Linked DNA regions of Alligator mississippiensis. The protein of the gene in region 1 purifies or fractionates together with the protein of each later gene. This does not show direct contact. Links are inferred from orthologs where the notes say so. Each region holds a gene or a part of one and is shown on either strand. Other genes may lie near its edges.

The links.
Region 2: the proteins of PTPN1 (region 1) and ABCD3 purify together in Homo sapiens (affinity purification with mass spectrometry; 3 studies listed by BioGRID and IntAct, with this or other methods). This does not show direct contact. The link is inferred for Alligator mississippiensis from reciprocal best matches to the Homo sapiens genes PTPN1 and ABCD3.

Annotation. Positions count from the first base shown.
Region 1 is NC_081832.1:12,949,194-12,960,017, reverse strand, and holds the start of PTPN1 (tyrosine-protein phosphatase non-receptor type 1), read left to right. Parts: upstream 1-5,428; 5' UTR 5,429-5,444; coding exon 5,445-5,591; intron 5,592-10,824. UniProt on the Homo sapiens protein: Tyrosine-protein phosphatase which acts as a regulator of endoplasmic reticulum unfolded protein response. Mediates dephosphorylation of EIF2AK3/PERK; inactivating the protein kinase activity of EIF2AK3/PERK.
Region 2 is NC_081828.1:34,236,220-34,246,892, forward strand, and holds the start of ABCD3 (ATP-binding cassette sub-family D member 3), read left to right. Parts: upstream 1-5,397; 5' UTR 5,398-5,451; coding exon 5,452-5,570; intron 5,571-10,673. UniProt on the Homo sapiens protein: Broad substrate specificity ATP-dependent transporter of the ATP-binding cassette (ABC) family that catalyzes the transport of long-chain fatty acids (LCFA)-CoA, dicarboxylic acids-CoA, long-branched-chain fatty acids-CoA and bile acids from the cytosol to the peroxisome lumen for beta-oxydation.

The DNA.
Region 1 (10,824 bases):
TATAATGTCTAGCCTAAGCACCCCTTGTGCATCTAGTCTTAGGTGCTACAAAATGTAACTTGGCACTAGACAGCCATAAACTGATTTTAAAACATATTATACTTGGGCCTAAGATTTGCACCAATGGGAATTAGAAGCAATTACATCAGTGTAAAGACAAGTGCACTCGCATAGAACTGATGGGAGATTAGAATGAGGCCAATAACTTGCATAAATCTATGTTAAGTTAAATATCTGCCAAGCTGTACATGATCCCCATGTTAATCCCAGAAAACTACTATGACACCTAAATCAAATCTTAAATGTTGACCAAATGGCATTTAGAGAGGCAGTCATTCTTAACAGTGAAATCACTGTCACCAACAATGAGAGGCAGATAATCACCAGTTCTTCACATACTATTATCACTGTTATTCATATAGGAATAAGAGCTCTCCATTAAATCACTGCATGGATTACCAAGCAGAGAATTCCAATATGCAGGCTTGGGGGATATTGTATGAGTCTTCATTCCACCACTCCAAGCAAAGAAGGAAGAACTGGCCCCCTGCCTCTGCCTAACCCCATCCAAACTACAAGGGTTTCTACTGCTGAACTGATGCAGGTAAGAAAAAACACATGGTAATTTCTGCTGCAGGTATAGGGTTCTTCCCAGAGCAAGGAGAAACTAAGGGAGCCATTGTAATTCAGAGTGGTGCCTTTAAAGTACAGAACTTCCCAGAACTATTCCAGGTGTTATGCACCCAATGCTCAGAACTGTGCTTACATGCAGAATAGAACCCATACCAAGATGGGAGGGATAGCCAGCATGGGTTTGTCATGGGTAGGCCTTGCCTGACCAATGTCATCTCCTTCTATGACCAGGTGCCGTATCACTTGGACAAGGGAGAAGTGATTGATGTCATATACCTGGATTTTAAAAAAGCCTTTGATCTGGTGTCCCATGACCTCCTCATGGAAAAATTGGCCAACTGTGGCCCTGGCTACACCACAGTCCGATGGCTGGGAAATTGGCTCCGAGGTCGGACCCAGAGAGTAGTGGTCAATGGCAGTGAGTCACTATGGTGCTCCGTGACCAGTGACGTCCCCCAAGGCTTTTGTTAGAATGATTTCATCAGCAAAGTTAACATTAACATACAGTTCATTGCTGCTGCCAGCCCAGTAAAAGAAACTTACATCTGATTTGCTTATTCACATTTAGACCCTTTCTTTCCCTTTGTTTGATCCTTTTTTAATAGCTATTTGTAATATCTGGGATGTTATCTAATCCTATATGGTGCTGTTGCAAGTTGCCTGCCAGCCTTGCCACAAAAATTGGACTGCTTAACTAGACCCTGATGCAGGTAATGGCTGCAAATTATATCTAAGCTTTGCAAAAAAAACTAAGGTCGGCCCAATGGCTTGTCAGCATCCTACATCCGACTTGTGATTTCTATATAGTTACAGATACTGATCTGTTTACCTGTAGGAGTCAGCTTAAAGTTTTAGTCATAGAAGAAGAATATATCCAAAAGGTCTCTCAGGGAACATCTACACATGCACTTTAATGTGCAGTAGCCAATTTTACTGTGCATTAAAGCATCACATGAAAACCGTGATTATGCAAATACTTTCATTACTGAGCATTTAGGCAGCCTAATGCACATTTCTTTAGTACCTCACACTGGAGGTACTAAATTTAATATGCATTAGAAAAAGCACCTTAATGTACACATAGACAGGCCCTTAAAGTGCCAAAAAGGCAGCTTAAACCACTACCACAGGGGCTTAGCCATATGGAGTGACCAAATGGAGAGTGGAGCACACAGCAGGAGGAGAGGAACATGCTCCTCTCTACTCACAGACTATTTCTCTGGCTTTGTAGAAAACCTGTTCCTTATTTGTTCCACCACCACCAAGTCATAGAAATATTAATGAGCATTGTTAACCAGAGGACAGATTCACCAGCCAACCTAGTCAAAGCCTACTCTCTCAAGTTCAGCTCCATCTCCTTTCCTCAAAACAAATGATTAGTAAACAGAGAATAGAAGTACTTCAAAACAGCAACAAAAAGGCAAAGACTCACTCTTCCATAAACTGAGAAGAGAGACCATACCTCCCACTCTGGAGTATATTTACACCAGCTTCTACAAAAAATCTTTTCTTACTCCTTTCCGCACATTCCCCTAGGAAGCAGTCATATGACATTTGGTCAGCTGATTCTACCCCATCATGGGTTCTGTCTGGGGAATACAGCTGGTGGTTAGCTCTGAATGTCAAGCTGGTAAGATATGAAGTGACTTTAGACATTTTACTTCCAGGCCTCTGCAGTATAGGGAGTTCTACAATAAAAACCCCATGCTGGATCCTCAGACTTGTAGGGTAACCCCCTGTTGTCAGTCACCAGATTCATAGAGAACAACACTATCTACAAGGTAACTCTTTGCCTGCTTAAAGAATACAAGGCTCAGGGGTGTTGCTTGTCAGAATATAGCTTGGAACTGCCCCGTGCTTAAGCCAGGTACATAGTAATAATAAACCTGGATGAAGAGACCATCAAGGCAGTACAGATATAGCCAATGGGCATGGTTGCATCCTAAAATCCTTCCTGGTTGAGACTCACCTAGATCTTGTGTGTGTGTACAGATACTATCTGTGAATTCTTAGTGAAGGAAGATAATCTTCTTGAGAAGCATCTTAATATTATTGAAAAGGATTCTGGGACTTGATAATACAGATAAATGAAGCTGAAACCCTCCTCAATTCCAGAACATGTCCACATCTGCACATATGGCATGTCCACATCTATAATTTGTTAAACAGGCTTATCTACATAGAAAAAGAGCAGAAAGACTATAAGTATGTAAGTTCTGTTTCTTTAAAACCAGAGCTAAAAACCAGTAGTCAGGAATGCTGGGGCTGGAAATTCTTCGCAGGTTTCTTTTTTCAGAGAGGAGAAAAGCTACCTGTTAATTAACACCAAAATCATAGGGGCGTATACCTACACATTATTATGTAAACACTGAGGCATGAATGCCTATTTGTATTGAATTCTATTCCTGATCCTAAAAAGGTGCTGAGAAATTCTGGACTCTCTCTACTCCCAGGGTCTGGTGGTCTTTCCCATCATGATATGAGTTTTATGGTAATATGCAGTTCCCACATTTACCATAAAAGCCTCTTTTTACAAACTGATATTGCTGAAGCGGGTCGGGGGGAGAAGTAGAATTAGAGGGGGGGAAGGGCATTTAGTTTGAACTGTGTTATCTCTTCACAGTAAACACTCTGAATGCCTAACTTACCATACCACTAACAGTAAGCAGGAAAATAAGGACACGAATTGCCTCAGGCTCAACACCCAAAGGGCATATCAGAAGCTGCCAGTAAAGTATCAGCCTTGTTTAACATAAGACTATCCCTCTGTTAAATAAAATAGAGATGTTAATATGGAATAATGGAACAATTATGTGCAATGTGATAGTATGAAGTGCGTTGAATGTGAGTGACAACCTTTCCAATTGTAAATGGAGATCCTGTCTGGTGGAACTGTTACTTGTTAGTTAAATGTAATTATAGACTTGCATTCACAATGTCTAAGTGCAGGAACACCATGTATTTTATTTACAGGCGTTTTCATGGGGATTTATTACACTGGCTGTTTAAAACTAGGTCATCTTGAAATCTGGACTATTGTAAGCACAGTTGCAAATATGTATGTCTAAAATGGTAGACACTTATCAATCCAGTGAGTTTAAACAAATTTAAAAGGTCCTTGTTTTTCTTTTCTTCTGTATTCAAATTGCCTTTGTTCATTCCAACTAAAAACTAGCCCTTTTAAAATTAGGTTTTGCAGGTCCTAAGGGTATTAAAAGCTCGGCTTAGATCTAGGAATTACCAAAATTGACTACTGACCCCTTGCTAGGTGGCATTCTGCTACTAGAGGTGATGACTTTCAAATATGAAACAAATACCCTGACCTCCTGTGTTTTTAGATCCCATAACACATTTCATAAGAGAAGGGCTGATTAGATCCTACGTACTTAAAATTTACTCCCAAGATTTTAAATGGTGCAACATTTTTTCCTTTTCTGTTTTAAATTGCTGTGTTAGCAATGCTGTGTACTGTTAAAAGCTACTGCCCAGGGTTCATTGCATCTCAGTAGAGCCAGATGTATATCATTTGTGGAGCATATGGGATCCTTCAGGATGAAAAGTGCTAGAGAGCTATAAACTATTATAATTGACTAAACTGCCAGTGCCTGAATGGACTGACCTTGGAAAGGGCCATATGGAATAAGGGCAGTGACCCTGGGGAGACTGTCTCACTAGAGAAAGATTTACGCATTATGAAAGTGATGCTGACGATGTCCTAGGAGTTCCTCATCAAAATGTCCCACGGAGATGCCACAGTGAGGTTTTAAGTCTAGAATTGATTTGAAGATGGGGCAATTCCTGGAGGCTGGGATTCAGGGACTCAGCCATTTTGAATACTAGTTACCTAGGCCTAAGATAAGGGTACTCCTCTGCAGTTAGAGGGGCAGCACTCAGCCACCTTATCTGTCTCTCTTGCCCTAGAAAAAGACAGTCCACGAAGAGGGACATATGACCCTGATCTGGCTGCTTCGGGCCAGAGCTGCCAAGTGTGACAAGTTATACAGATCATTTAGTACCCACATTCAATTCCTCCTTCTTTTTAGATGTAATAGGATAGCTTTTGAAAACTGCATGTCATCAATCCAAAAATACCTGGGAGCGTTGGAAGCATCAATGGGCACAAGCCTGTAGATTTTGGGGGAAATCAAAAAACTGGAAAAGACCCATTCCCACGAAGACCAGGTTAACAGGGTGCCCACTCGGTGTTTCAGGCAAAGAAATCTCTGGGACACCTCGTGCAGCTGCTCCCTCACCACAGCTCTGCACAGGTCGCGGCACTCGGCAACACAAGAGCCACCCTGTGATCTTCCCCATCGTCGCAAATCAAGCGAAAAGGAAGCACTGCCGTTTCCCGGGGGCACCTCGCCTCTTCCCCAGGCTGCCTCGCATCCGCAAAACATGATGGAGAAGCACTGCTCGAGAAGATGAAGAACCTCTGCCCCAAGGGCCTCCAGCATGAGGGCAGCAGGCCTGCACTGCTGCCTCAGAGAAGGGGCAATGCCAAGCAGGGCTGAGAGGGTCCAGGCAGCTTTCCCTATCCCTCCAGCCTGAAACTACCCAGCACAACCGCTTCTCAGCAGCCCCTCTGCTTGTAGGGGCTGGAGCCCCGGGGTCTCGTGCGAAGCTCCAGCTGCTGGAGTCGCGGGACCAGCCCTCAGCGCACAGCTCCTCCCTCCCCCCGCCCCGAGAGCTAACGGAACGCGGGGCGGGGCTTCGGCGACGGGGCGGGGCTTCCCCGCGCCGCTCGGGGGCCGGGCCGGAAGTGCGTGGGCCGGTCTGGTGGCGTAGTTCCGGCGGGGGGAGGGGGTGACATGCAGAGCCGCGAGCAGCTGGAGCCACAGCCCCGGGAGCAGCGCGCGGTGGCCGGCGGGGGCCGGGCGCGGAGCGCGCCTAGCATGGAGGTGGAGAAGGAGTTCCGCCGCCTGGACCAGGCCGCCAGCTGGCTCGCCATCTACCAGGTGCGCCGCCGGGCTCAGCTCTCGGGCATCCCATCCCCGGCGGGCCCCTCCCCGCCCCGGTGGCCGCAGGGGGAGGCCGAGGCCTGGTGCCTGCCCGAGGCAGCTGGGTGCATTCGCGGCTGTGGCCATGCTAGCCTGTGGCGGCTTCCCCGGGCTGACCCCGCGGCGGGCTGGGCATCCCTTCTTGCCCGTGAGCGGTGGGGTTTGCTGCTTGGTGCTGGTGGGCGGGGGGGTTGCTGGCCGAGCTCCTCCTCAGCCTCCGTGTTCTCCCTTCTGAAGTGATGTCTTCTGAGTCCTTTTCTAATGGGTATCGACAGCCCCGCGAGATGCAGGGAGATCGAGGCGTGGAGCCGGGCTCTGCTGCCCGTTCACACGGGATGAGTTCTGCTCTGGGGTGTAGGCGGTAGCCGTGTTGGTCCAAGGCAGTGTCCAGGGTGCCACGGCACAAAAGCGTGCGGTCAGAAACGAACGGGCGTGCCGCGGTGGCAGCGAGCTCTACAGTAGGTGCGTGGATGGGGGATGCCTTAACAGGTGTGCCGCAGAAAAAAAAATTTTATTCATGTAAGTGCACCTTGGGCTGGGAAAAGTTGGGAAACGCTGGTCTAAGGGCATGGACTGACAAGGTTCTTTGGGTAAATCTGATCTCTTTTATTAGACCAACTCAAATAGTTGGAGAAATTCTTTGTGCAAGCTTTTGGGTGCACGTACTGAGGCTGAGGCAGCGTCTGCACTTGGTGTGTGCTTTGGCCCTGGGAGTTTTGGAAAGCCGAGTTGCACGCAAGCGGCACGGTCGGATTTCTGCTTCGGAGCTGCCGTACGCAACGAGCGGGGAAATCTGTAAACGACCATCTTGAGCTGCTTGAGGAAAGCAGTTTGCTTCACAAATGTAGAAACTTAATAATGACTGCATGTTTCTGGATTTCCTTTTCAGAAGGTGCGCTCCCGGTCTGAGTGTTCATTAGTTGCAGACTTGCTATCGGTTGAAAGTCACATGCGTCTGATGTTACGATTTTGCTAATCGGTTCTTGGTATGTTGCAGGCCCAGTGCTCAGGAAATGATTTTGAGTAATGTATTACTGTAAAAAAAGCTGTTGTAATGTGAAGGTTGTAAATCTTGCCAGCAGAGGCACAGAAATTCAGTCATGCCTAATGTTGCAGTCTTGACTTGCATCATCAAACTGAAGTTCTTGCAGCACGTAAATTGCATAAGATCTTTGCCTGTTGGAAGACCTCTGCTGCATTTTGGGGCAGTTACTTGGGTTGGGCAGTATGAGCAATCCTGTAAAAATAAAAAAATAAATCTTGTCCATAGATTTTTTTTGTTTTGTTTTGGGGTTTTTGGGGGGGAGGGGGGGTTCCTTGCATTTTTATTGCTGTCTTCTAGCTGGTAGCACAAACTCAGTGTGTGTTGGTAGTTCATCCCTGATTGCCAGTTACCAATTCATTTCACAGAGGCTAAATTATTTTCCAGTACAGGTGTTCTTTTAAAATGCTAATTGGCACCTTTGCTGCCAGTCTTGAGGAGCTGAAGGCTTGTTTCTTGTGGAATTGAATTAGTCAGGCTTTGCCAAGTGATTCCTTCAGGTCAGATTAGGGACATGTTGTCTGGGATGGGAATGCTCATAATACCACTGATGTCTGAGTATCTGTGGGAAGGATACAGGTGACTGCTGTCACTTCTCACCAAAGATCCAGCAGTGCATTGAGTTCTTCAGCATCTGTCTCTTCTAGTTGAGGGATGCTACAGAGATCCTGTAGTTGTTTGGCCTTTGGTCTTCCTGGCTGGGTGAAGGCTAGATGTCCATGCTCTGGCTCAGTCATTGCTCTCAATACCGTTGCCGTGAAGTAGAGATGATGTGATTGCAAACCTTAATGCACTTGAAGGTGAGTTTTGGGGAGGTCACTTTCATTCCCTTCTGGAAGATCTTAGAGTACAGTACAGGTTTCCCTCACTTTATGCAGGTTCTGTATGTGTGAATTCACTCTTAAGTGATGACTCTTCTTGTACCAAAAGTTTGTTATATGCACTGTGAACTCACTCTTAATCTCAGTGTGGTGGAGGCCCGCAGTCAGCTGCTTTGTGCGGTGCATTGTGGGAGTGATGTGCACCAAAATATAGTCTGTGTGGGTATGTGCTTCTCACTCGTTGTCTGCAACACGTATTTCTGTAGCTGTCATCCCTGTGCTTGTGTATACTGTTTGCTGTTGGTGAGTACTAAAATGGTCTTGTAAAAATGGTAGAAATGGATCTGGGGGTCAGTATAGTGGAGGACTTGGAAGGTATCCCTATTTGTTACATTGTAAAGTGGGTTCTCTTTATGCAAATTAGAGTTATGCACTGTTTTCTGGGAACACTTGCAGCATAAAGCAAGGGAAACCTGTATTTGGCAATTGCTGAGTGCTCGCCTGTAGGAGTGTCTTGTCACCTCCACTTCTAATGTATGTAAGAGGATGTTTTTTGGACAGTTGGTGGAGAATGATGGGCTGCAGTCTGTGGGCAATATCCAGATTTGTTTTCATCCCATCTCCTTGGGACAACATGTCTTGATGGATTGCTCAAAATGTAGCATAGATTCCAGTTTGGGTGAGAACTAGGCTGCAAAGAGCTGAGGTAAGGCTTCTGAGTTGGGGATTCAACCGGAAGAATGCAAGGAGATTTGTTTCAAGCCCTTTTGATTAAGGAATATATTTGCCTTTATCAAGGAATCTTTGAGGGGGTTTTTGTTAAGTCTAATGTAGGATTCCTACTTACTTCTAGATGGTGGCTATCAGTACCTGGACATGTTTTCCAATTTCAGTTGACTAGCACCTTATACTCCCCCCGCTCTCCTTTCAGATGGGGACCTGACTTTCTTGACTTCAATGTTAGAAATGCATCTTTTTTGCATGTAGTATTCTTCATGCCAGGACTGATGCACTATAGCAGTATGTGATTAGATGTGTAGTTGTGCTGATCAGGAGGGACAGCTTTGCATTTCCACTCATGGTTTTCACTTGACCTAGCAGATCTTTAGCCTTAGAATCTAGGAAATTGTGACACAAATGCTGGAGAGGTAATACTCAATGGCCAAGAGTAGGATGTAGATCTTATTACTTCATGTCCTGAATAAAGCACCACAGCAATCTAACTAAATGAATCGCTTATTTTCTTAGCCAGATATATGATACTGGACTGCATTAACCATAGGGTAGGGACTGTGAATGTTACTGGTAGCTGGGAAGTGACTACAAGAAGATTTGTGGCCTTTGAGACTGTTTGACTGTGGTGTGACTTGGGCAGCAGTAATGTGTGTGTGTGTGTGTGTGTGTAGGATAGGGAGGTATGTGGGGCTTTTTTTTGGGAGGGGGGCGGTTTGAGAAGGGGAAGTTAGGGAATTATATCTTGCTAGGAATACAAAACTGCAGTGGAGGAGACTTTGAGGAAAGAAGTATAGCATAAAGACCAGCCACAAAAGGGAGACTCATTCTTTCCAAAATGAAGTGCATCATGTGTCCCCCTAGATATTTTGTCTGTCTTGCAGCCTGTAAGGAAGGGCACTGAACTGCGTATTTGCCATTATAGCTGGTCAAAAATGAGATAAATGTTAGTGAAGCACTTGACAAGCCTGACTTCCAAATAAACCCCCTAAAACCAAGTTTATTTTCCATAAAAACGGGGGCATGAAATGTTGAGAAGAATGCCAATAAGAACCCCCATCTGGTTCTCTATACTGCCTATGGCAGTATAGAAAACAGTGCAGAATAAAGTGAATTTTAAACCAGATGTATTTATTTCTATTTTTACTTATTTATTTTTGAGTGCGTCTTGCACAATGCATTCATACTAGAGTCCTCTTTTAAAATGTTCCATTTCCCTAGCAAATTGAAACTAGGGGCAAGGTTAGGCATCATATTTAAACATGAGCTTTGCAATATGATCCTGTTTCAAAACTATGCAATTTGGAAAATAAGTGGCTTAGGGGTGGGTGCGTGACACGTTCAGTACGTAAATATCTTTAAAAATATCAATAGGAATGGAAGGAATTCGCTGTGTGAAGATGTTGCGACAAAGAGCAGTTGCCTGAAGCCAAGAAAAACAAAGTTTTAGGCTTGCTGTTAGGGAGGGAAGAGGAGGTAGAAAGGGGAGTCTTGGCCCTAGCGACAAATGGATAGTGAATCATCAAAGTTGTCCAAGAATAGGAAAGACAAAACTTTCAATAGGAGTGCTGTAAGAGGAGTAGCTCTTCAAAATGCATGTGATTATACGTATATTGTGAAAGGCTTTACTTGCTAAATTTAGCAGGTGTGTCTAAAAGAATACTTGGATGTAGGCAGATTTATTATATAAGAAAGTTATAATTACAGTGTAGAAAAAAAGGAATGTGGCTAATCATCCTCTAACTGTCATTTAACACTAAAACAAAGCAAGTCTTGTATTATACTTGACAAAGTGATATACTGCTCTCTTGGATTAGTGTTGTTTTTGATAGAAATTTCTTTAGGGAAAGCTGGAACATGGATTTATACAAAATGAGGAGAAGTTCATAATAGAAAGCACTACAGATTTAATCATTTAAAAATGAGAACTTCTAATTGAAAAATAGTTCATGTAAGTACAGCACTTATACCTATGTGATTCTGTTTCTCAGTCATGGTTTTCTAGCGACTGCTAGCTAAAAAGAAATTGATACTAGTGTGGCCTTTCAAATATGGGTCTGGAAATGCTTGTACTGGAAACAGAATTACATTGCTACTCTCTGGTTGTGGAAAGATCTAACAAACAATATACTGTTCTAAAAGGTGAGAGAATGGCTGCTGGGGAGTGCGTGTCAGCTGAACTGTTAACTGTTTCATCTGCCTGGTCCTGTACCAATATTAGTGGATTAGTGAATAACAGTAACTAATAACAGTAACTTCAAACCTGAATTTTCAGCTCTCTTTCACATGGTGTCAGATATCAACTTCCAAATCTATGAGCCACTGTCCAGTATTATTGCTCATTGTGTTGGTTCCATCTACCCTGTCTTGGCATTTGTACAGGTTACAGTCTTTGATTAAGTGCTGTGCTGTTAGTTGGACACTGCAACAATTAAGTGGTGCTAAACTCCTGGAACCTCATACCTGTATATGTAGTCAGGGAACAGTGACACTGGTACATCCTGACCCACTGGAAGCTAACATATCGTGTTCCTTTGAAGGTCAGATGCCCTTTTTTTTTAAAGCCAAATGTTTCTTTTCAAAATGGCTTGGGTCT
Region 2 (10,673 bases), on another chromosome or scaffold:
TACCACAACTCAAAGATATTCAGGAACCTAATTTCCGTGGATGGGATAGGAAATATTCAAAGAAGTGATACAAAATCCAGCAGAAAAACTTGTTGGAAAGTGTAAGCAAACTAAGAAAAGGAGGACAAATAGCAAAACAGCACTGTAAGAAAGATGTAAACCAGTCTACTTCTGGGAAAGCAGGAACAGTAAAAGTATTATGTAAATAAGTGAAGAAATCATAAAGATTGGACAAGCAAAGGTTTGGGGGAAAAGAGACTAAAAAAACAAAGCATCAAAAAAATAAGGTATGGAAACAATATCCATAAATGTAAAGTTGTATGGAAATAGAATCAGGCCACTGACATACAAAGTAAAAATAGCTGCTGGTGAACTGACAGTAGAAACTAGTAGTCATTCCTCATTTCAGGTAAGAGAACAGTGATATAAAACTACCTGTGTATATAAAGACTCCTGAAATGCTGTAAAATCACTGGAAAGACTCCTGAATTGCTGGAAAATTATGAAATTGTTTCAAGGCAAGGCTTGTGTAAAACAAGGGGGCATGTAATCTTATGATCGTGAACTGCACATAAAGCATGTTAGATAAGATAGAGATTGTGGTATTGGATAATCTAGAGTTAAGCTTCTTATGCATATAACTTGAATTAATGATGATACCATTAGAAAATTAATTATGATACCACCTTAGAAAATCAGGACAAGTCACTTAGAATAAACACCCAAAAATGCAGTGTTTGCATCTAGGAAAAAAAGGACAATAGATGAAATACTGAAGTGGTAGTAGGCATAGAAAAAGTAGATTTTTATGCATACATAAAATACTTGATCAAGACTCAGTTTCATCAAGGATCTGTCTGAGTGACAAGACTACACAGAATTTACTATAATTATAGACTGACAGAAACATTCTGTTTGGTATCAAAGTGCAAATGCATCAGATTAATATACTGACAAAATTACTTTGTGGACTGGAAGCAAGTGCATTTAGGGAAACAGACACCACTAAAGGAAATGGAGGCCATGGACACAATCTCTGTCCCAACTGGCCCTGCCACTGCTGCTCCCGAGGGCACAGGCCCTAGTAGTTATGCCTCAGAAGACCATAATAGTTGGGTTATTGCAGAAGACAAACAGATGACAGAATGCCAAAGAAAATCATGCAAACACAGCCATGGTCAGTCTGCCCTAGAGGCTGGCAGCCAACTAGACGGTTAGATACTGGGGCACAGGGGACCATGGCCAAGCTGGACTTACTGGATAAACAAGCCTGGAAAGGAATGAAAGGTGACACTACACTCTGTATGTCTGCAAAGATGACCTGAGATGAAAAGCAGCAGCAGTTTACTTGTAAAGCTTCAGTGAACCCTTGGAATCAGAACAGCACTCCTTTTTTCACAATTTAAATGATGCAAATTATTTGACTTAAAATGATGGAACTGCCCTTATTTATGTTCCTACAAAATGTATCTGTTGCTATGAGGTCTAAGTATAAATGTGTAAGTAATGCATGTGGTCTACTCAGCAAAAGAGAATAAAACCTTGATGCGCATGAATTTACTAACAATATTTTGCATATCTGTCGCATTTTTCTTCTGAGGATCTTAGAGCAAGCATTTTTTGTGATATCTTTTATTGGACCACCTCTACAGTTGGGAGAGCTGGTGGACAAGCTTTTGGGCATCAAGGGCTGTTCTTCAGCTCTCCCAACTACTGTATACACTTGGTCCAATAAAAAATATCACAAAAAATCCTTGCTTCTCCAGCATTTTCATTCTAATATAATAAAAAACCTTAGTGTGTCTGTCTGTCTGTCTGTCTGTCCATTATGCTTTATTCATGCTCTGACTGGTTGTCTCGGCAGCCAATCACAATGCTGACTAAAACAACCGATCAGAGTGCTCTGCACAGACAGACACACACGGCACAGCGTCACCATGCTGGCAGAAACTGAGGGGCCGAAGTAGGGGGGTGAGGCCAGTAGTGCTGGTCTGCCCCCTGGCCCTGCTCCTTGGAGGCGGCGGCAGCGCAGGGTGCTGGCAGTGCAGCACTGGCCTCGGCTCTCTGCTCCAGCCTTGCCGCCACATCCAAGGGGCGGCCACGCCCCACTCCAGCAGACAAACAGGAGCAGAGGATGGGGGACACAGGGGGTGGGGGGGGCCACAGGGCCGGAGGCAGAGTGGCTGCAGCGCTCCATCCCTGCCTGCTCCCTCCCCATCATTCATGAGAGGCAATTTGCTAGTTATGGCTATAACAACACTCCAACTCTATTTATTCCTCAAAGCACGTCTGTGATCTTAATTTAACATATGTAAACACTGAATCATTGTGAGTTTTCTGACTTACCTAAAGTCACATATAAAGTTGGGGTGGGGGGAAAGGACATGAATCTAATACTCAGAATCCAATACTCTAGAAATAATCTAAAAAATGTATGCCCTCTCTCTCTGTCAACTTTAATTTTATATAATAACGATGCTCTGAAACTCTAGGGACTGGGTCATCTTAAATTTCCCAAGAGAGTGTATGGTGCCTGATAATGCAAGAGAAGCAAAAGGCAGATGCACTATATCATTCATACTGAAGAATGACAGAGAAGCCTAGAAAACTGGGGGAATGGAAACAATGGAAGCACTCTTGGGCATGTGATTGCTTTTACCTCTTCCTAGTACTTTCTTTTGCATCCAGTGCAAATTCCTATAGTATGCCAGCTGGGGAAGGGAATTGAGTAGATTTTTCTAAAAGTAAAGGGCAAGTGTGTGTATGCTGCAACTAGAATAGAGCAACTGGTTCATCTACTCAGGGCAAATTCTGTAGTGAGGCTTTCCAGGGTTATCTGTCTGAGGGTTAGTCTACATGCTGACTTGCAAAGGTGTGAACTGAAAGCCATGCAGCTATTTCAAAGTAAGTCTGCATATGAACACTCCCCCTCTCTCCCCAAGAAAAGTTGATAAGCCAATTCTAGCAGAAGCATATTCAAGAAGGGGCCAAGGGAGAATGCAGTCACCTAATTTGGCAGTGCCATGGCCTGTGCAATGAGTTCTGAGCTCACTGCCTGGTCAGTATGAGTGCCTACTGGAGCCCCATATAACCAGTGAGGACAGGGTCTGGCCAGAGTCACCATTTTTGTAGGGCTCTGGAGCCTGGGGGACTGCTACTGCTGTTAGCCTTTCCTTTCTCTTACCCTCCCCTCTGATTTCAGCAGCAGGGTAGAGAGGTGGGCAGTAGCACTTACACTCTGGGCCCTGAAGCCACATGAAAGCAGGAGGTCTCGGCACACTCCACACTGAGAGTTCATGTATAACAGCTGGAAGTGAATGCAATTACACCACCACATCCTCACTGGATCCTAGCAAGGGCCTGTTCTACACTACTGTAACTATTTTGGTGAGAGGATGCAATTTCCTTTCCCACTTTGAAATAATTATACCAGTGAAAGTTCTACTGTGGTCTAAGTTATATAGGTACACTGAAAGCATTGCCAGCTTAAAAATGTTGGCAAGGAATTTGAGTTTGGCGATATTTCACAACCAGTAAATAGCTGTAGTGCAGTAACTGCTTTTGCTGGTATCACTTTTTTTGGTTTTCAGATTGACATAACCTCCACCAGCAAAACACTTTTTGATAGCATAACTGCATCTATACTAAGAGTATTTGCTAGTATAGTGATACAAGCAAAACTTTTCTCATGTAGACCTGATACACTGGTAGAGTTTTTCTCTTTTCTATAAGAAAGTAGTTATAGAGTTATAAAGCACATCTACACTGCTGCAACTGTGTCCACACAAACCATTTCTTCAACTAACTAGTTAGCTGATACTCTGATGGTATCCGCTTCGGGTATGTCATAGAATTATAGGGTTGGAAGGGACCTCAAGGGTTAATCTGTCTGGACCCCTGTACAAATGCCAGAATGCTACTCCGAGGCTATTCCTGATCAGTGCTTGTATCCCCGTTGTCCAGTACCCCTGTGCAGTCTATTGCACTGCCTTAGTATTCTAACAATGAGGAAATTTTTCCTGATATCTAATCTGAATCTACTTTGCTGCAATTTAAAGCTATTGATTTGTGTCCTGTCCTCTGGGGCAAGGGTGAACAGTCATTTTCACTTTTTTATGGCAGCCTTTCAAATATTTGAAGATTGCTATCAAGTCCCCACTTAATCTCCTTTTCTCTAAGCTTTCCCCATATGGCCTGCCTCCTAACCCCTTTATCATTTTTGTCACCTGCCTCTGAAACCCTAACTTCTCCATATTCTTCTTAAAATGTGGACTGAACACAGTATTCTGATATAACCAATACCAGGTAGAGTGGTACTCCTACCTCTCATGTCTTACACTTAATACTCCTGTTGATATGGTACAAAATTTTGTAATTGTGCCACGTTGATGACTCGAGTCTGTGATCCATCAAAACTTCTGTATCAGTGATTCGTAGCCAGAGTGCCACACGATATTAGCATGGTTGGATATGCACGCAGGAGTCACAAGGTAAACTCAGGTTCCAAATACGAATCCACAGTGTCAAAACCATTCAGGCCTGTTGTGGTCTTTCTGGCTTCTTTGCAACAAACAAATTGCTCTGTTTTTTTATTTGTAGTAAAAAAAACAAGTGAAAACTAAGAGCTGGCATTCTCCAAGGGGCACCTCAAGTCTTAAAAAGGCTGAAAATCATTGCCCTAGATTCTTCCTAGCAAGACTGGGAAGGCTGCCACCCACCTAGTTATCTCCCATTGTTTATTTAATCATTCTTCCCCAGCTGCAGCATCTTACGTCTGTCTGCACTGAACTTCCTTCTGTTGTCTCCAGCCCAAGCTATCAAGAGCCGTCTGAACGCTACTCCTATCCTCCACTGTGTTCCCAGTCCTTCCCAGTGCGGTGTCATCTGCCAGCTTGATCAGGAAGCTCTTTGCTCGGGCATCGCTCGCTAGCAGAGGACCCCGGACCGCTGTGGGACACCTCCCGGTCCGACCCTTGCCCATTCGGCCTTGCCCTTCGCTGGCGGGTACAGGACCAGTCACCTCTCCACCTCAGCGTCATGTTATCGGGTCTGCGTTTCTCCAGGTCACCTGTGAGCACGTCATGTGGGACTGGATGAAAAGTCCCCTCCTCCTCACAAGTCAGAGCATCACTTAACAAACTTGCAGCAAAATGCTGAAAAAGCTTTTAATCCCCACCTTGTACCAGGGCGCTGCAGGCCTGTGAGCAGGACCAGCCCTCGGGTGAGGGACAACCTTCACCTTGGTGACAGGTGACAGCTCTCCCCGAGGCGCCGTCTGTTGTCCGAGGCTTCCCGCCGCCCGGCCCGGCCCGGCCCGGCCCTCCCCTGGCCCCGGGCCCGGGGGCGGGCGCTGCTGTCGCAATCGCCGGGCGGCTCCCGGCATCCCCCGCGCGCCGCCCGCCTCGGCTCGGCTCGGCTCGGCTCGGCGAGCCGGCTGTGCGGCGCTCCAGCATGGCGGCCTACAGCAAGTACCTGACCGTGCGCTACTCCACCATGGCCGGCGCTACCGCGGCCGCCTGCGCCCTGCTCTGCCTCCTCAACAAGCGGCGCCAGGAGGCTGCGCAGCACGGGTGAGCGCTCGCGCGGGGCGGGCAGCGCCTGGACCCCGGCCCCATCCCGGGCCCTGCCCTGCCCCCGGCGCTGCCCGCAGTGCCCCAGGGGGAAGTGCTGCAGGCGCGGCAGTGCTGGGCAGCGCGGCCCTCGCCCCTGCGGGCCGGGGGGTGGTCTTAAACCCCCGGGACACATCGGGGAGGATGGAGCTCGGCCTCTTCCCACCTCCCGCCCCCCCCCCCCCGTTTTTGCTGCCCAAACGATAAGCTAAGAAAAGCAGTGAGCAGGAACAACGAGCAGGAACAGGTCCCCGGGGCTGAACAGCACCTCAAGATGTGGGCGCTGGTTTGCGTGAAAGCAGTCAGGACAAGAGCCTGCGTGTACCCATTGTGTGGCTTTTGGGGCGCTTGGCTGAATTGAAGAAAATAACAGCCAGGCAGTTTAATCTCAACAGTACATTTTTTAATTGGAGGTTACTCGCTCTAGACGGGGGGTTGCTCAGCCTGTGGGCCAGACCCAGCTCCCAGAGCCTCTTTTTTTGGCCTGTGGGGCTGCCCACAAGTTTGAAAATTTGGTGATGGGGAAAGTTTGCTGCTCCCCTGCTGCCAAATTTCCAGGCCTGTGCAGCACTTCCGTGGGCCAGATAGCATGGCCCTGTATGCTAGAAGATCGGGCACTCAGGCACCAATCCCCGGTGCGTGCGGCCAGTGAAGGGCATGACACAGATGAGCAGTGGTCTTTTTTGGTCCTGTGGGCCCCTGGACAGTCCCAGGAGCTGCTCTTAAATGTTGAGTAGAATGGCATATGTGGTTGGGTGAGGAAAGGAGAGAGTTCTTGCTTTAAAAGGCAGTTTTTAGATCATTCAAAAGCAATTTTGAATCAAAATAATCTGACCCTCATCTAGCCCTTTCTCCATGTCCAGTTTTTTCTTGCATCGTGGCTACTGTAATCTCATTTTTTGGATCCTTGCCTTCCTCAAATCCATTTTACACGCTGCTTCTGCCAAAGCAGTCTTCATTGCTTGTCAGTTTGTCACCTTCCTTCATTGGTGGCTGTTTCTTCCCTGCAGCATTTTATCAGCCGCTGGCTATGAAACTTAGAGTACCCTACCTGTTAAAAGCCTGGCAGATGGTGAACAACAGTTCTTGCATCACTAGCCTACGTACATATCCTCTTATTAGTGTTGCCTCATCCTCCCTCCACCCCATCAGCCTATGTTATACTAATTTGCTGAATCATATCGTTAATGTAGCTATACTTGGAGCAGGGGTAGTCCTTTTATCAAGTTTTTTCTTTTTTTTATTCTGTTCAGTTGGGGCTTGCTTGTCATAATGAAATACACATGGGTTTACCATGTTAATAGTGATACAAATCATCCAAAGCCCTGTGTACCATCTAAATCTTGTGGTGCTCTTCTGCAGGATGTGGGTTCTGGGGAGTAGAGCAAGCAGATGGGCTAGATCAGGGGTTGTCAACCCACAAAGCTCATGGACTGGGAACTCACTGGCATTCAGTGGAGCAGGGACTCTGCCTGTGCTACACTGCAGCTAAGTGGCAAAAAAGTGGCCGGGGGAGAAGTTGTGGTAGCAGCAGGATCCTAGCTTTGGATCCGAGCTGGGTGATTCTAGCCTGCTGCCAGAAAATGTTGCTGAGCCTTGGGCTAGAGAATTTCTTATCACAGCTTGTCAGGAAGAAAGCTCTTTGCAGGTTGTGAACAGGTCTTATCTAGAAGGGGCAGTGGGTCACAGTGTATAGAATCTGAGTAAGGAGCAATGGCTACCCTTCACCTTGTAGTCTGGCCTGTTTCCTTCTCCTAATTACTTGATTGCTTGATTACATTGTCTCTCTGCAGGTAAAAGTGAATTTTACCCTTTGAAAAGGTCTGGTTTCAACATTCTGTTTGGGGAACAACATGAAGTGTGAGGACAGGCTCATACTGGGGTCGATTCAGTGGGATAGTTATACCAGTTACTGTACCAGCAAAACACTTTTATTGTGGGTGTGACTTATACCAATAAATCTGCCCTTTTCTTGGCACTTTTTTCATACCCTACCCTGCTCTTTCCAGTGTATTAAAATAAAATGTACAATAGAAACGCATCAATGCTGTCCATTTTTGCCAACACAGCTTTGGTCACAAACCCCACTTCCTCACTTCCCTGACCAGAGATTGTATCATATATCTGGCCTAGGCCGTGTTTTAGGAATAGTATGATATGAAGCTTGAAGAAATATTAAAGAATTATTTGAAGCATTATTGGAACATAATTTCATAGTGCCCACTCTAACTTTATTATATACTATATTTACTCAAATCCAAGATGAAGATTTTTCCCCATTTAATGTGGGGAGATGGGTCTTGTATTGTATTTGAGGGCCATGGTTGGAGCTGCTGCCTTGCTGGGGCCAGAGTGGGTTTCATAGATTTCATAGACATTAAGGCTGGAAGGGACTTCATGAGATCATTGAGTCCAGCCCCCTGCGCAAAGGGCAGGAAGTCATTTGGGGTCAGATGCTTGCACCGCTTCTGGAGGGAGTCTGTTTCAGACTCTGGAGACTCAGACGTAAAGTATTTTAGATTGGGCATAAGCAAAAACTTGTCTTCCAGCAATTTGTGACCATTGGACCTCGTCTTTCCTTGGTGCCCAGGTGGACAGATATTCTCCCAGATCCAGATGCACACCCCTGATATACTTATATCAGGTTGAGGTGGCTTGTGCAGTGGGGGGGCATGGGGAAGACCACACAGTGGTGGGGAGTGCAGGGAGGAAAGATGCTGGGGAGTCTGCTCAGAGTTGGAGGGGGGCAGTTTAGGAGACAGCACAGTGCAAGATGGGGGGAGCTGGGGAGACTGTGTGGTGTGGTATGGGGTTAGGGGATGCAAAGGAGACCATGGGCAGGAGTGCAGGAGGAGACTAGAGGAATGGAGGGGACCACATAGGGAAGATGTCAGGGGGTGACTATGGGGAAGAATGTGGTATGTGGCACAGGGGAGCTGCAGTGGCTCTGGTCCTGACCTGGCCAGGGCTGGAGCTGCTGCTGCCAGTGCCACTGCTATCTGGGCAGGGCCTGGGGACAGCTGAAGCTACTGCAGGGTAAGTGAAAGCAAGGGGAGCAAGTGGCAGGGGGAGCAGGCACCAGGTAGGTAATTGCTAAATTTGAATTTAAAATGAATTTTAAATGACTCTTCAACAATTAGAATCTATACATGGAAAATTATAACAAACATAATTTTCCCATGCATAGAAACTAATTATTGGAGGTTGTCTTAAATTCAAAGTTGTCTTGGATTCCGGTACTAGGCAGTTGCAGGAATGTTGTTTGTTTTGTCAACTCTCACCCACATTTCTTATGTATTTGGGCTTAAGGGCAAGGCACAGTGTGACTCAGTGGCAATGTAAGAGTAATTAAGTTAGTGTAATAATATATACATTTTCTTAGTAGGGCAAAGATCAGTTTTATGTAATTCCAGTTGAGTTGGTTTAATCATTTCATGTGTCTGAAAACCTGATGACTGATGATATAAAACTTAAGCATTTTGTCATTTATGGGCACTTGAGTTATACAATATATTTTTTAGTCTGCCAGCTAAAAATAGTTGCTTTCCTTTATGTAAATGACTTTAAAATATGTGTCAACATTTAAAAGCAAAGAGTTCCATTCTTCTGTGGCACCCAGTAATGAAAGACTTAAAAACTTGAAATTAAAACGTACCCAAGGATTTCTCTCATATCAGATAAAATTAAGAAGTAAGGTTGATATCTCTAAAATTTTCTCATAGAGCAAAGTAGGAGAATACATGTTTTAGAATAGGTTTTGGTTTTTGTTTTAAGAAATAAACATAAATTAATAACTATACAAATAATACAGTCCTGATGTGGAAGAAGTAGAACTGATGCATCTACTTCTGTAGTTCAGTTGAGTACATATTCATGTTATATTTAAGCAGGATCTTTTGTTACGCTATAACTAGGGACCTACCAAAATTCCAATTGTGCTATTTTCGCGGAAACTGTAATTTTGGGTGGGCTCTGCGAAAAAAGCACAGATGCTGCGCTTTTGTGGACTTGCAAAAAAAATAAATAAATAAATAACCCCCCCACCCCAACCTACCAGCAAGCAGAGAAAAGTGTATGGGAAACTCTGCAGTCTTGGGGTTTGGGGAGAGGGGAAGGCAGAGGGGGGAGGTCTGGGGGAGGGGGTGGGAGAGGTGGAGGGGCTGAAGCAGTCCTGCCTGCCCCCCCCTTTCCCTCCCCCCTGCCCTCCGCCTCTACCTCCCCCCACCCAAGACTGCAGGGCTTCCAACATGCTTTTCTCTGCTTGCTGGTAAGTTTACTTTATTTTTTTTGCAGTAACCCCACCAGAAATGGGGAGCCCGTTCCTTGGGGATGGCTTGAAACCACAGCTTAATTACCCTGATTAAGCCCAGGAAGTCATTAATTGATGCTTAATAACATGTGGATTAATGGCTTCCCTAGGCTTAGTGGGGTAATTAAGCCACTGGTTCAGAGCATGTAGCAGTCTGCAGGGAGGGGTGGGACTTCTGGGGCCTCTCAGCCAACCAGAGGTGTGGGGGGCCCCGCAGCACTCAGCCCACAAAAATGGTGGCCGGCTCAAGGATCTGCCTGCAAAATTGGCTGGCCACCTCCTTGAGTTTGGTAGACTCCTAGGTATAACTATTATCTGATTTCATGCAGACACATCATGGATGAAATTCTGATTCAAATGACGATGAGAGCAAAACGTTCCCATATCGCAGTTAGCTTGCCTAGAGGACTGCAGCTTTTTATGGCTACCAGCTACTCTTAACTCAAGTGGCAAAGGTCCCTAACCCTGCAGATGACACAGTGAGAGGCCATTGTGGATTTTTTTTCACACTTTTTCATTATCGGATGCATTTTTCTAACCGAAGACTAGGTAGATGTTTCTTAATGACAGCTTACATGATATCATTTGTTTGCTCACCTAAGTCATTTAGATAGTAAAACAAAAAAGGTTTGGTAATACAAACATGCAAAATTAAGAATTAAAAGTTACATGTGCAGTTATATGTAATTATAATAGTAAAGACTGTATAATGAATGTATGTAGGTGTGGTTCATTTAGGGCAACCTGAATGCATA